2 linked regions of the Anolis sagrei genome follow. The protein of the gene in region 2 purifies or fractionates together with the protein of the main gene of each other region. This does not show direct contact. Links are inferred from orthologs where the notes say so. Each region holds a gene or a part of one and is shown on either strand. Other genes may lie near its edges.

Region 1 (8,139 bases), on a different chromosome or scaffold from region 2:
TTACTAACTGGAGCTAACTATAGGGAGCACTCTATGCCCCTATTAGAGCAAGTTAAGTTTCTGGACCCAATTCAAAGTGCAGGTTATCACCAATAAAGCCCTATACGCTTTGGGTCCAACCTATCTTCGAGGCCGCATTGAGATCTACCAGGAAGGCTATTTTCTCAGTCCCACCACCCAGGTACGAGAGGGCCTTCACCATGGTGGCCCGCTCCAGCTCTGGAATACCCTCCCAAGAGAGATTAAGTTAGCTCCCACTCGCCAAGCCGTTTGGGCTAGTTTAAAAACATGGCTTTTTAGGCAGGCTTTCGACTTTGTATAATTTATTGTCAGAGTAAGAATTCACCGATTGTTCACTCCGGGCACTTATTTATTTACAACATTTTTACCCCCATCCCAGGGGGAACTTCTGACAACCCAGCAGTTCGAAAACATGCAAATGGGTGTAGATCAATAGGTACCACTCCGGCAGGAAGGCAACAGCGCTACATGCAGTCATGCTGGCCACATGACCTTGAAGGCGTCTATTGATGCCAGCTCTTCACCTTACAAATGGAGATGAGCACCAACCCCCAGAGTCAGACACGACTAGACTTAATGTCAGGGGAAAACCTTTACCTATTCTTTGCCTATATAAAGGTTTTAACCTTTAAAGCCCTAAACAGTTCTGGCCCAGACTACCTGTCCGAACGTCTCTCCTGTTATGAACCATCATGAAGTTTAAAATCTTCAGGAGAGGCCCTGCTCTCGATCCCACCACAACCGCAAACGCAGTTGGTGGGAACAAGAGATAGGGCCTTCTTGGCAATGGTCCCCCGTCTTTGGAATTCTCTCCCCAGGGACATCAAGCTGGCCACCTCCCTCCTGTCCTTTAGAAGAAAACTGAAGACTTGGCTGTGGGACCAGGCATTCGATTAGTGGACAGTGGCAACTGGAAAGAAGACTTAGGATACCCCTGATATTGAATTTACCCAGACTTGGATTTGGTTTTAATCTAGCATGTTTAATCTATTGTTTAAATGCATTATTTTAATGTTTTAATGTATCCGTTATATGGTGAAAGCATAATACGGTGCTTGTGTGAGGCCACCCTGAGTCCCCCCTCGGGGGGAGAAGGGTGGGGTAGAAGTGTGGGTTGTTGTAGGCTTTTTCGAACTACATGGCCATGTTCTAGAGCCATTTTTTCCTGACGTTTCACCTGCATCTACGGCAAGCATCCTCAGAGGTAGTCAGGTTTGTTGGAACTAGGAAAAAGGGTTTATATATCTGTGGAATGACCAGGGTGGGACAAAGGACTCTTGTCTGCTGGAGCTAGGTGTGAATGTTTCAACTGGTCACCTTGATTAGCATTGGATGGCCTGGCTGTTGTTTGGTGTGGCTTGTTGGTGCCTGGGGCAATCTTTTGTTGAGAGGTGATTAGATGTCCCAGATTGTTTCCTGTCTGTTGTTTTGCTGTTGTAATTTCAGAGTTTTTAATACTGGTAGCCAGATTTTGTTCATTTTCATGGTCTCCTTCTTTCTGTTGAAATTGTCCACATGCTTATGGATTTCAATGGCTTCTCTGTGTAGTCTGACATGGTGGTTGTTAGAGTGGTCAAGCATTTCTGTGTTCTCAAATAATATGCTGTGTCCAGGTTGGTTCATCAAGTACTCTGGTATGGCTAACTTCTCTGGTTGAAGGAGTCTGCAGTGCCTTTCATGTTCCTTGACAAATTCATTCTTTTACATGTTTATGTATTGTTGTTTTATGTATGGCGCTTCAAAGTTCTTCTGTGAGCCACCTGAGTCCCTTCAGGGAGATGGTGGTGGGGTATAAATAAAATTATTATTCTTATGCTGCCTTTCTCTCACAATAGTACCCAATGCAGCTTCCAGAAACAACTCATTTCTTATTACATAGTGTTGTGATGTGAGCACTGAGATTTGGCTTTAGAGCAGGCTTAAGCCAACGTGTTTCCTCCAGTGGTTTTGGACTTCAACTCCCACCATTCCCAACAGCCTCAAGCCCCTTCCTTTCCCCCCTCAGCTGCTTAAGCTTTGAACTGGATTATATGGTAGACCAGGCATGGGCCAACTTGGACCCTCCAGGAGCTTTGGACTTCCAACTCCCACCATTCCTAACAGCCTCAAGCCCCTTCCTTTTCCCCCTCAGCTGCTTAAGCTTTGAACTGGATTATATGGTAGACCAGGCATGGGCCAACTTGGACCCTCCAGGAGCTTTGGACTTCCAACTCCCACCATTCCCAACAGCCTCAAGCCCCTTCCTTTTCCCCCTCAGCTGCTTAAGCTTTGAACTGGATTATATGGTAGACCAGGCATGGGCCAACTTGGACCCTCCAGGAGCTTTGGACTTCCAACTCCCACCATTCCCAACAGCCTCAAGCCCCTTCCTTTTCCCCCTCAGCTGCTTAAGCTTTGAACTGGATTATATGGTAGACCAGGCATGGGCCAACTTGGACCCTCCAGGAGCTTTGGACTTCCAACTCCCACCATTCCTAACAGCCTCAGGCCCTTTCCTTTGCCCCTGAGGGCCTGATCTACCATATAATACAGTTCAAAGATTAAGGAAAGAGTCTGGGGCTGTTAGAAATTGTGGGAGTTGAAGTCCAAACCCCCTGGAGGGCCCAAGTTGGCTCAGGCTTCCTTTAGAGACCGGGGTTCAAATGCTTGCTCAGCCATGAGGCCCACTGGGTGACCTTGGGAGTCAGACACCCGCTCAGCCTTAAAGGAAGGCAAACTCCCCACTCTGAACAATCTTGTCATGGAGTTGCCTTAGGTCGGAAAGGACAATATAAAACGCATTAAACCCGAAAGGGCCAAAGCTGCTCGAAGAGGGGAAGGCCGAAGCCACAGGGTATAAAGTGGCAGAATGAAGAAAGGCCGCTTGTCTTTCATTCAGGAAAGGGCTGTACCAAGAGGCGCGAAGGTGGGGGGGGGGGGCAGAAATGGGCCTTTCCAAGAACCCCTCCACAAAGGAAAGGAAGAGGAGCAGCAAAGCCTCGTCTCTGACCCCTCCCCCGCCGCCAAAAAAACCAAACAAGCCGAGTGGAACGTTCCGAGCGCGAGAGCACAAACAGTTGGGCGCGCGCTCACCGCCCTCCCTGACTTCTCGCCCTCAGTCACTCACCCGCGCCCTCTGACGTCCGCTCACCGTCTCGAACGCCTTCCCCGAACGAAGAACGACGGCGATGATGGATGATAGGCTGCTCGCCGAACCAATCAGCGCTTTTCGGCTTCACGTGGCAGCGACGGTGGCCAGCGCAGGCCAAAACTCTTCGGTGATGGAATTTTTGATTGGAGGCTGTTCTTTCTTTCTTATGTTTGGGAAAGGAGAAGCTTTGGGCCCATCCACACAACCCTATATCCCAAAATATCAAGGCAGGAAATCCCACAGTATCTGCTTTGAACTGGATTATCTGAATCCACGCTTGGATAATATGGGATTTTCTGCCTTGATATTCTGGGATATAAGGCTATGTGGAAGGGTCCTTTGCTTCTGAGGGCCCTTCCACACAACCCTGTATCCCAGAATATCAAGGCAGAAAATCCCACAATATCTGGGTTATCTGAGTCCACACTCAGATAATGTGGGATTTTCTGCCTTGATATTCTGGAATATAGGGTTGTGTAGAAGGGCCCTGAGTCAAGAGCCCCAAGGGCCCTGAGTCTGGGCACGACAATTGAAGAGTGATATTAACAAGCTGGAATGTGTCCAGAGGAGGTCGACTTAAATGATCAAAGGTCTGTAGAACAAGCCCTATGAGGAGTGGCTTAAAGAGCTGGACATGTTTAGCCTGCAGAAGAGAAGCTGGAAAGGAGACATAGAATCATAAGAGTTGGAAGAGACCTCATGGGCCATCCAGTCCAACCCCCTGCCAAGAAGCAGGACTATTGCATTCAAATCACCCCTGACAGATGGCCATCCAGCCTCTGTTTAAAAGCTTCCAAAGAAGGAGCCTCCACCACACTCTGGGGCAGAGAGTTCCACTGCTGAACGACTCTCACAGTCAGGAAGTTCTTCCTCATGTTCAGATGGAATCTCATTTCTTGTAGTTTGAAGCCATTGTTCTGTGTCCTCGTCTCCAGGGCACCAGAAAACAAGCTTGCTCCCTCCCTGTGGCTTCCTCTCACACATTTATACATGGCTATCATATCTCCCTCAGCCTGAGGGCTGTGTATAAATACATGAGGGGAAGTCATAGGGAGGAGGGAGCAAACTTGTTTTCTGCTGCCCTTGAGACTAGGATGCGGAACAATGGCTTCAAACTACAAGAAAGGAGATTCTGAACATTAGGAAGAACTTCCTGACTGTGAGAGCTGTTCAGCAGTGGAACTCTCTGCTCCAGAGTGTGGTAGAGGCTCCTTCTTTGGAGGCTTTTAAACAGAGGCTGGATGGCCATCTGTCAGGGGTGATTTGAATGCAATTTTCCTGCTTCTTGGCAGGGGGTTGGACTGGATGGCTCATGAGGTCTCTTTCAACTCTAGGATTCTATGAAAAGGCACGCAGAGTATGGGAACATTAATAAGCAGCCCCCCCCCTCCTTTATTGAATTATTGAGCATGCAAAATAGTGGAATGTGTGTGCTGTAGAATTAATGCAGTTTGACACCACCTGAACTGTCATGGCTTCCACACAGCTGAATAAAATCCCACATCTGCTTTGAACTGGAATATATGGCAGTGTGGACTCAGGTAACCCAGTTAAAAGCAGATATCTTGTAATTTTCTGCCTTGATATGGCTGTGTGGAAGAGCCCTAAATGTTATGGAATCCTGGAAGTTGTAAACTCTTAAGGCTCCTCAACTATTTAGCAGAGAAGGCTAAATAGCGTGTAAAACTACAATTCTCTTTATTCCATAGCATTGAGACAGGGCAGTACAAGTGGTGTCAAACTGCATTAATTTCCAGTGTAGATGTACTTCAAGGTCCCTTCCACACAGCTATAAAATCCACATTGAACTGGATTATATGGCAGTGTGGACCCATAATCCAGTTCAAAGCAGATATTGTGGATTACCTGCCTTGATATTCTGGGTTATATGGCTATGCGAAAGGACCCATAGTCTTCAGGTTAGACTATGTTTTGGACTTCCAACTCCCAGCATGGTCAACTGTCAGGAATTATGGGAGCTGAATTACAAAACTAGAAAAGATTGAAATTAGTGAAATAATAGTTGTAATGAATTACTCTAATAACCTGCTTTTGTCAGAAGGTGTGTTCAAGAAGGGGGATTATGTCCCAGCATTCAGAAGCTTAATTTTTTCAAAAAACAAAACAAAAACTTTGCACACTTACATGGTCTGCAATTGCTTGTTCCAAATTTGACCCTTTAGCAGCTTCTCCCTAAACAAATCAGAAATAATAATAAATCACATCTCGCTTTATCTCTTGATTGAGGACCCTTCCACACAGCCATATAATCCAGAATATCAAGGCACAAAATCCCACAATATCTGCTTTGGACTGGGTTATCTGGGTCCACAATGCCATATATTCCAGTTCAAAGCAGAAAATGTGGGATTTTATTCAACTGTGCGGAAGTGGCCTGAGATGCTAAGAAAGGTCACACTGATTCCAACAGAATTTCTTTTATTAAGAAACACACATGAAGGATTGGACTCTGTATCACAATCCTATGTATGTTTTACTCACAAGCAGAACCAACTCAAGCAGCTGAGTTTCAGATTTCATACTCCACCAGTTTCATATTTCAAGAAATAAAGTGCTTGTGGGATTTCCTGTCTCACTAGTCAATATACATGGCCTTGGGTACTCAGCACTTTGACTTCAGGCAGACTAATTCACTATTATGTATATTTAAGACTGCATACTCATGAAGCATTATACCTGAGAGAATAACTTGTAAACCAATGAGATAGCTAACATGTCAAATAAATCATTCTGGCATTGAACTGGTATTGAAAAACCATGCAAAATCAAATATTTGTGCACAATTCCTGCAGAAAAGAAGTGACAAAAAACCTCAAGTAGATGTTAGGAGAATTGAAGATTTTGGTGAGAAATCTCTGTGCATTAGAATAATTTAAATGTCACTGCAAACGATATTGTTAGTTTAATTGTCTTTCCCCCATTTAGAAAATAATTATTGTTTAGAAAAAAATACTGTCTATAGGATTTTTAGATTTGTGGATGCCTGAAATTCTGGGCTGGCAAACTTATTTTCTTATACATACTATCAAGAGTGCATCTGCACTGTAGACTTAATCCAGTTTGATACCACTTGAACTGCCATGGCTCAGTGCTAAAGAATCTTGTGGGTTGTAGTTCTACAAGGTCTTTAGTCTTCTCTCCCAGGCTGGGACCTCTTCTACACTGCCATATAATCCAGATTATTAAAGCAGAGGATCCACATTATCTGCTTTGGACTCGATTATATGAGTCTACACTGCCATATAACCCAGTTCAAAGCATATAATCTGGATTTTATATGACAGTGTACAAGGGCCCTAGATCTACACTGCCCTATAGCCCATGATCAGATCCCAAATTATCCTCTCTGAACTGGGTTATATGAGTCTCCACAGCAATACAATCTGGAGTAAGCAGATAATCTGGGATTCGGTCATGGGATATAGTGCAGTGTAGAAGGGTCCCCAGAAAGTGCTGGTGCCTCACCAAACTACAACTTACAAAATTTCAAAGCATGGAGCCAAGTCAATACTTTAGTAAGGATGCTGAGATACAGATATTTCTAATATAGAGGTGTTTTGTTTTGCTTTGATCTACATTGCATTTATTTAGGCAAATGCTATAATGATGGCAGTATGAGGAGAGCAGCACTAAAGGCACTATCACAAAAGTTACAGGTAACCCGCATGGCCATATATCCATGAATGAAATATGGCCAGACAGCTTGTATGCAAATCCCACTCAACTGCATAACCTTTGCTCTCTATTACATAAGTGACTATCTCTTGAGTCATGGTCCGAAAGTATTTCTTGTTTACTACGTAATTTCCATTAATTTTTATTATTTAGTTCCTCTGCCAAGCAAAGCAGGAAGGACACTCTGAGTGCTGGGATGATTGTAGTTTTTCTCTCTGGAGGATTGATGTCAAGGGAAATGAGAGTAAACAGTCTGAAAAAGCCCGCAGTTTCATGTCTGGCCAGAAGAGGAAGCAGAGACAATGCCTTGGGTATTGTTATTTTTTTTTTTTGTTCAAGAAAATTGATTTTAAACAAAAGGCACAAATAATTCAGAAAGTTTTCTGCATAAGCTCTGCAGAAAACCTTTTGCACCATTTCCATACATTTCATTATTGGCTGTGCGCAAGGCAGGAGTGTGGAAGAAAGGGATAGGTAAAGTGTGGCAAAATGCATTATAGCCAATAGGCAATAGAAGTAAATATACTATAGCTCAGGCATGGGCAAACTTTGTCCCTCCATGTGTTTTGGACTTCAACTCTCACAATTCCTAACAGCTGGTAGGCTGTTAGGAATTGTGGGAGCAGAAGTCTGAAACACCTGGAGGGACGAAGTTTGCCTATGCCTGCTGTAGCCAGTGAGACAGATAATATAATAAATTCAGTTTATTTTAGCTTAATAGGATCAGTAGTCAATATCCTAGTCAATGCTATATTAATTAAAAGCCATTTAAATGCATTCAGGATTAATTTCTATATAAATATGATTTTTGCAAATCTGTGAATAATCTGCAAAAGTCAAAATTGCAAATATGAAGGGCCAACTGTAGATCACATCAAGGAAAAACTGAAGCTGTTGAACATTTTCCTGTTAGATCACTATTTAGAAGCTCTACATGATGAAAAGGTCGGAAACTCATTTCGGTCTGACACACGAAAGACAACTGTGAGAGCTGTATGTGGCTGCCATTATCTAATGAACAGGGCAGCACTTAACATTTTTTTGATTTGATAAATGTAATTCATTCATTCCTGTGCTTTTCCAGCCCAGTCAATCTCATTTTATTTGGATCACTTATTCTGTAATTTACATTTTATGAGGAAAAATTATCCGTGAGATATTTCTTGGCCCTATCATCATTTCTAACATATTTCTATGAAAGCAATTAAACCACATTTTCAAATATTGTACGACATTTTGTGGCCCCCTTATCCACAGATTTAGTATCCACGGTTTGACTCAGCCACACTATA
Region 2 (8,328 bases):
TGTGTCCAGAGGAGGGCGACTAAAATGATCAAGGGTCTGGAGAACAAGCCCTATGAGGAGCGGCTTAAGGAGCTGGGCATGTTTAGCTTGAAGAAGAGAAGGCTGAGAGGAGATATGATAGCCATGTATAAATATGTGAGAGGAAGCCACAGGGAGGAGGGAGCAAGCTTGTTCTCTGCTTCCCTGGAGACTAGGACGTGGAACAATGGCTTCAAACTACAAGAAAGGAGATTTCATCTGAACATGATTCAACCTGATGTCATCGAGGGCAGTGGAGACCCCCACCTTCAAGTTGGTCTGACCCGCAGCGGAGAGTTCCGCAGTTCCTGGAAGCCCAAATTGGAACAAACTGAAGAAATGTGCCCCAACAGACAGCTCAAACAGGGACTGTACCAAGCCTCTGTGCCTTTCTATCACTTTTCCCCAAGCCCTAACATTGTAACTATTCCCCTAATAAAGATACTTGAAATTGCAACTTTTTAACTTTCTAGCTTGATACTTTGTGTCACTTCTTGCCTGAACTAACTAAATGCATGAATTCAACCTTTTCCAGGCCGCGGGGGACTGCGAGCCTGCCCGGAATGCCTTCCTGGCGTTCCGGGGACGCCGAATCCACGCCGCTTGAAACCGCGGATACGGAGTTTTTCCTTTCAGATCTCCATATCCACAAAATGGCGGATCGGCTCCATTTTAATGTCTTATTTTTCTGCACTAAATTCTAAGCTTGTCTGCCATCTCACTTTTCTTATTTTGGACCCCTACGCTCAGGAAATAACCTCTCAAGTTTTGAGAATATATTTTATTAGAAACAGCTGATTGCCAAATATGCTGGTTCCATGGCTGCTGCTTCATCGCTCCTCGCTGCCTCTCGCCTCTGCCAAGCTCTGGACCCGGGGACTTGATGCGGTTCCCCCATGGGACTTCAGGGAAGAGCCTGGCCAAGGTGCCCTGGACCTTGGGAAGAGATTCTAGTTTTCCAAGGACCAAAGTGTGAAATCATTGCAGCACAGCTGGAGTTCCATCTGCCAGCCTTTGCAAAGATCGAGGACTTTCTGTTGCCTGTTTAGAACTTCAGAATCCATGTTGGAGAATGGAGAATACGGTGGTCAATCAACCTAGGCAACTCCATCCTGCACATTTTCGAGAGCAACCCCTATAGATTTTGCCGACAATACAACTTAGACTCTAATACAGACATTTTAAATGCCATAATAAGTAGCACGTCAGCAATATAAAACCCTAAAGACTGCCAGAGTTGGGGCACCTTGGTATCCCTACGGATGTCCTCAAACACTCTCTGCTTCATTCAGAAAAATGCTGCACTTGCAAAGCTCAGGCGGTGTTGAATTACAGTGTCAATGTGGACTTTTGTGGAGAGAGGGCTGCCAAGGTAGCGGAAATTGTCTACTTTTTCTAATGTTACACCATTAAGCTGTATTTCTGGCATTGGAGAGGGGTTGGCCGGTGACTGCTGGAAGAGGACTTTGGTTTTCTCGATGTTCAGTGACAGGCTGAGTTTCTCATATGCTTCTGCAAAGGTGTTTAGAGTGACTTGTAGGTCCCCTCAATGGACTGTCACCTTGTCGTGGTGAGGGGGCTTGCGTGTTCCAATGAACCTGTGGGCACAACGACTGGAATCGTGCACTCCCAGGAGTGGCCGCAGGGGAGGTTCCAGACCAAGCACAGTCCGAAGACTCAAAGACCTCAACGGCGGAGCAGGCAGAGGATAACATGGTACATGTTACAACGGCTGTGAAGGCGGAAGAAGGCTGCAACAGATTGAGAAGCCACGGTTATTGTGTCAAACTACATCACCAGTGGAACCTCACTCTGTGAAGACTGTGTGTCGATCAGTTGTGCACTGACCTCCACACATTAAAAAAAACCCACGCACAGGCGTCTTCCAAAGAAAATGAAAAAACAAACCAACTGGACAGGAAAAGAAATTTAAAGATGGGCTCAAAGCCAACCTTAAAAACTCTGGCATAGACACTGAGAACTGGGAAGCCCTGGCCCTTGACTGCTTCAGCTGGAGGTCAGCTGTGACCAGCAGTGCTGCAGAATTCGAGGAGGCACGAGTGGAGGGCGAAAGAGAGAAACGTGCCAGGAGGAAGGCGCGTCAAGCCAACCCTGACCAGGACCGCCTTCCACCTGGAAACCAATGCCTTCACTGTGGGAGAAGATGCGGGTCAAGAATAGGGCTCCACAGCCACCTACGAATCCACAAAAATAGTCATCAAGGAAGACCATCTTACTCGTCCAATGAGGGATTGCTTAAGTAAGTAAGACATCAGAAGAGCTGCAAGACCAAGAACAAGCCACGAGAGTAAAGATGAAGATCCACCCAGAGGAAAAGTGTTCCTGCCATACATCAAGGGAACCACTGACCGCATAGGGAAGCTGATGAGGAAACACAACATACAAACTATCTACAAACCCACCAAGAAAATCCAACAAATGCTACGTTCAGCAAAGGACAAGAGGGATCCTCTCACCTCTGCAGGAGTCTACCGTGTACCATGCAGCTGTGGACAAGTCTACATAGGGACCACCAAACGCAGCAGCATTGCCCAGACACGCATCAAGGAACATGAAAGGCACTGCAAACTACTCCAACCAGAGAAATCAGCCATAGCAGAGCACCTGATGAACCAGCCTGGACACAGCATATTATTTGAGAACACAGAAATGCTGGACCACTCTCACAACCACCATGTCAGACTACACAGAGAAGCCATTGAAATCCACAAGCATGTGGACAGTTTCAACATAAAGGAAGAAACCATGAAAATGAACAAAATCTGGCTACCAGTATTAAAAAACTCTAAAATTACAACAGCAAAACAGCAGTGAGGAAACAACCAGGCACATCTAAACACCTCTCAACAAAAGATTTTCCCAGGCTCAGCCAGGCCTTCAAATGCTAATGAAGATGGTTGGTTGAAACATTCACACCTAGCTCCAGCAGAGAAGAGCTCTTTGCCCCAGCCATTCAACAGATATAAAAACCCATTGTCCTAATTCCAACAGACCTCACTACCTCTGAGGATGCTTGCCATAGATGCAGGCGAAACATCAGGAGAAATGCCTCTAGAACAGTGTTTCTCAACCTGGGGGTCGGGACCCCTGGAGGGGTCACAAGGGGGTGTCAGAGGGGTCACCAAAGAACACCAGAAAACACAGTATTTTCTGTTGGTCATGGAGGTTTTGTGTGGGAAGTTTGGCCCAATTCAATCATTGGTAGTGTTCAGAATGCTCCTTGATTGTGGGTGAACTATAAATCCCAGAAACCACAATTCCCAAATGTCAAGGTCTATTTTCCCCAAACTCCACCAGTGTTTACATTTGGGCTTATTGAGAAATTGTGCCAAGTTTGGTCCAGATCCATAATTGTTTTGAGTCCACAGTGCTCTCTGGATGTAGGTGAACTTCAACTACCAAAACTCAAGGTCAGTGCCCATCAAACCCTTCCAGTATTTTCTGTTGGTCATGGCAGTTCTGTGTGCCAAGTTTGTTTCAATTCCATCATTGGTGGAGTTCAGAATGCTCTTTGTAGGTGAACTATAAATCCCAGTAATTACAACTCTCACACAGGACAAAATCAATATCCTCCCCCAATTCCACCAGTATTTAAATTTAGGTGTATTGGGTATTTGTGCCAAATTTGGTCCTGTGTATGAAAATGCATCCTGCATATCAGATATTTATATTACTATTCATAACAGCAGCAAAATTACAGTTATGAAGTAGCAATGGAACTAATTTTATGGTTGGGGGTCACCATAACATGAGGAAGTGTATTAAGGGCTCGTGGCATTAGAAAGGTTGAGAACCACTGCTCTAGAACATGGCCCTATAGCCCGAAAAAACCCACAAGAACCTTGTGATTCCAGCCATGAAAGCCTTCGACAATACATTAAGTAAGGTCTTCTTCTGAATGTGCACAGATGACGTTGTCATCAGCATACTGGAGTTCTATAATAGATGCATGCACTATGCATGCATCAATAGGAGCATAGTGTCTAGATGTAAGGAAGTAATGCTACCCCTCTATTCTGCTTTGGTTAGACCACATCTGGAATATTGTGTCCAATTCTGGGCACCACAATTCAAGAGAGATATTGACAAGCTGGAATGTGTCCAGAGGAGGGCGACTAAAATGATCAAGGGTCTGGAGAACAAGCCCTATGAGGAGCGGCTTGGGGAACTGGGCATGTTTAGCCTGAAGAAGAGAAGGCTGAGAGGAGATATGATAGCCATGTATAAATATGTGAGAGGAAGCCACAGGGAGGAGGGAGCAAGCTTGTTTTCTGCTTTCTTGGAGACTAGGACGCGGAACAATGGCTTCAAACTACAAGAGAGGAGATTCCATCTGAACATGAGGAAGAACTTCCTGACTGTGAGAGCCGTTCAGCAGTGGAAGTCTCTGCCCCGGAGTGTGGTGGAGGCTCCTTCTTTGGAAGCTTTTAAGCAGAGGCTGGATGGCCATCTGTCAGGGGTGATTTGAATGCAACATTCCTGCTTCTTGGCAGAATGGGGTTGGACTGGATGGCCCATGAGGTCTCTTCCAACTCTTTGATTCTATGATTCTATGTTGTTGTAACCTTGGTGTTTACTTCCAGTCTGATTATAACAGGGATATTATGACTTTAAAAAGTGGAGCAGCAAAGTGGAGGGACATAGTCTATTTAGGCCATTTCTCTCCCGCCCCGCCCCCTCTGGGTAGGCCCCGCCCCCTTCTCGAGAGACCACGCCCCTCCTGAGCAAACCCCGCCTACTTAAGTCCGGCCCCGCCCTCTCCCCGGCCCCGCCCCCATGCCGTACTCTCCTTCTCCTTCCTGCCCGGGCGGAGCGTGTGCTTCCGGGCCGGGAGCCGGGCAGCAGGCTCCGTCGCAGGCCCACTCAGGCGAGGGCTCCGGGGCCAAGATGAACTACATGCCGGGGACGGCCAGCCTCATCCAGGACATCGACAGTGAGTCTGGGAGACTGAGAGACAGAGAGAGAGGATTCTCATTTTCGAAAATATATTGTTTTAGTGATAGTTTAATTCATTTAACCATTTGTTTGTATTAATTTGTATTTTGTTTATTTTATTATATTACATATTTGGTTAATATTATTTGTATTTTGTACTAGCCGTCCCCTGCCACGCGTTGCTGTGTCCTAGTGTGTAATATGTGGGTTTAGTGTAAATATATTTGTGTATCTGTGTATATATGTGTGTTTAGTGTGTGTGTGTGTGTCTATATATATTTGTGTATCTGTGTGTATATGTGTGTTTAGTGTGTGTGTGTGTGTCTATATATATTTGTGTATCTGTGTATATATGTGTGTTTAGTGTGTGTGTGTGTCTATATATATTTGTGTATCTGTGTGTATATGTGTGTTTAGTGTGTGTGTGTGTCTATATATATTTGTGTATCTGTGTGTATATGTGTGTTTAGTGTGTGTGTGTGTCTATATATATTTGTGTATCTGTGTATATATGTGTGTTTAGTGTGTGTGTGTGTCTATATATATTTGTGTATCTGTGTGTATATGTGTGTTTACGTGTATTTATTCATACTTATACACAATATACATATACAAATATAAGCACACAAATGTACACATCTACACACACATCCATATGCACACACACAGATATACCCGTGTGTGTGTGTGTGTATATGTGTATATATATATGTATATATGTGTGTGTGTGTGTGTGTGTGTATATATATATATATATATATATATATATATATATATATGGGTGTATATGTGTGTATATGTATATTTGTGTGTTAATATTTGTATATGTATATTGTGTATATGTGTGTGCTTGTCTATATGCATATTTGTTTATATATCTGTGTATGTATGTGTTTACGTGTATATATATATTTTCATACAGATACACAATATACATAAACAAATATAAACACACAAATATAGATATGCACACATATATTCACATCTACACACACATACATATGCACACACACAGATATACCCATATATATATATATGTGTGAGTGTGTGTAGATCTGTGTAGATGTGTATGCACACACACATATATACCCATATATATATGTGTGTGTGTGTGTGTGTGTGTGTATATATATATATATATATATATATATATTTGTGTGTTAATATTTGTATATGTATATTATGTATATGTGTGTGCTTGTCTATATGCATATTTGTTTATATATGTGTGTATGTATGTTTACGTGTATATATATATATATATTCATACATATACACAATATACATAAATATAAACACTCAAATATATATATATATATATATATATATATGCACACATATATACACATCTCCACACACATACATATGCACTCACACAGATATACCCATATATATATGGGGGTGTATATGTGTGTAGATGTGTATATATCTGTGCATAGATATATTTGTGTGTTTATATTTGTATGTGTATATAGTGTATATGTGTGTGCTTGTCTATATGCATATTTGTTTATATTTGTGTGTATGTATGTGTATTTACGTGTATATATTTATATATATTCATACATATACACAATTTATATATATACAAATATAAGCACACAAATATATATATGCACACATATATACACATCTACACACACATACATATGCACACACACAGATATACCCATATATATGTATATGTATATATATATGTGTGTGTAGATGTGTATATATGTGTGCATATATATATTTGTGTGCTTATATGTATATTGTGTATATGTGTGTGCTTGTCTATATGCATAATTGTTTATGTGTGTGTGTATGTGTGCATGTGTATATGTATAAGAGTACATGTGTGTTTACATTTGTATATGTATATTATGTGTATGTGTGCCCTTGTCTATGTGCATATTTGTGTTTATATATGTGTGTATTTATGTGTGCATGTCTATATATGTGTGTGTATGTAAATGTATATGTGTATATTTGTGTGTGCTTGGGTATATATATATATATATATATATATATATATATATACACACATACACACGTGTATGTATGTGTGCATAATAGTGTATGTGTATATATATTTGTATGTTTATATTTGTATATGTATATTGTGTGTATATGTGTGCTTGTCTATATGCATATTTGTGTTTATATATGTGTGTATGTGTATATTTGTGGGTGCATGTGTATATACATATATGTGTGTGTATGTAGATGTATGTGTGTATATTTGTGTGTGCTTGGATGTGTATATATATGTGTGTATGTGCATGTGTATATGTATAAGAGTGTATGTGTATATATATATATGTGTGGAAGGCAGTCCCGGTCAGGGTTGGCTTTACACGCCTTCCTCTTGGCACGTTTCTCTCTTTCGTCCTCCATTCATGCCTCTTCAAATTCTACAGCACTGCTGGTCACAGCTGACCTCCAGCTGGAGCGCTCAAGGGCCAGGGCTTCCCAGTTCTCAGTGTCTATGCCAGAGTTTTTAAGGTTGGCTTTGAGTCCACTTTTCAATCTCTTTTCCTGCCTACCAACTTTCCATTTTCCATTCTTGAGTTCGGAGTATTTATTTATATTTATCGTGTCATCCGCAACCAGAACATTGTATTACATTTCTAACAGAACAAAACAAACAAACAGATAAAAAAAAACAAAAACACAAATTTTGCACACTTGGTAGCTGATTAAATGTCCCTTGACCAGTATCTGGCCGCTTGGAGTGCCTCTGGTGTTGCTGCAAGAAGGTCCTCCATCGTGCATGTGGCAGGGCTCAGGGTGCATTGCAGCAGGTGGTCAGTGGTGTGCTCTTCTCTACACTCGCATGCCGTGGATTCCACTTTGTGGCCCCATTTCTTAAGATTGGCTCTGCATCTCATGGTGCCAGAGCGCAGTCTGTTCAGTGCCTTCCAAGTCTCCCAGTCTTCTGTGTGCCCAGGGGGGAGTCTCTCATCTGGTATCACCCATGGATTGAGGTGCTGGGTTTGAGCCTGCCACTTTTGAACTCTCGCTTGCTGAGGTGTTCCAGCGAGTGTCTCTGTAGATCTTAGAAAACTATTTCTTGATTTGAGTCGTTGACATGCTGGCTGATAGCCAAACAAGGGATGAGCTGGAGATGTCTCTGCCTTGGTCCTTTCACTATTGGCTGCTACTTCCCAGCGGATGTCAGGTGGTGCAATACCGGCTAGGCAGTGTAATTTCTCCAGTGGTGTAGGGCGCAGACATCCCGTGATAATGCGGCATGTCTCATTAAGAGCCACATCCACTGTTTTAGTGTGGTGAGATGTGTTCCACACTGGGCATGCGTACTCAGCAGCAGAGTAGCATAGCCCAAGGGCAGATGTCTTCACTGTGTCTGGT

Evidence for each region. Proteins that work in one complex are often made in the same cells at the same time.
Region 1: the proteins of LSM1 (region 2) and LSM6 purify together in Homo sapiens (co-immunoprecipitation; 3 studies listed by BioGRID and IntAct, counting the BioPlex papers as one, with this or other methods). This does not show direct contact. The link is inferred for Anolis sagrei from reciprocal best matches to the Homo sapiens genes LSM1 and LSM6.

The regions. Positions count from the first base shown.
Region 1 is NC_090025.1:47,640,092-47,648,230, reverse strand, and holds the start of LSM6 (U6 snRNA-associated Sm-like protein LSm6), read right to left. Parts: upstream 3,211-8,139; 5' UTR 3,128-3,210; intron 1-3,127. UniProt on the Homo sapiens protein: Plays a role in pre-mRNA splicing as component of the U4/U6-U5 tri-snRNP complex that is involved in spliceosome assembly, and as component of the precatalytic spliceosome (spliceosome B complex).
Region 2 is NC_090027.1:10,448,235-10,456,562, forward strand, and holds the start of LSM1 (U6 snRNA-associated Sm-like protein LSm1), read left to right. Parts: upstream 1-4,818; 5' UTR 4,819-4,926; coding exon 4,927-4,972; intron 4,973-8,328. UniProt on the Homo sapiens protein: Plays a role in the degradation of histone mRNAs, the only eukaryotic mRNAs that are not polyadenylated. Probably also part of an LSm subunits-containing complex involved in the general process of mRNA degradation.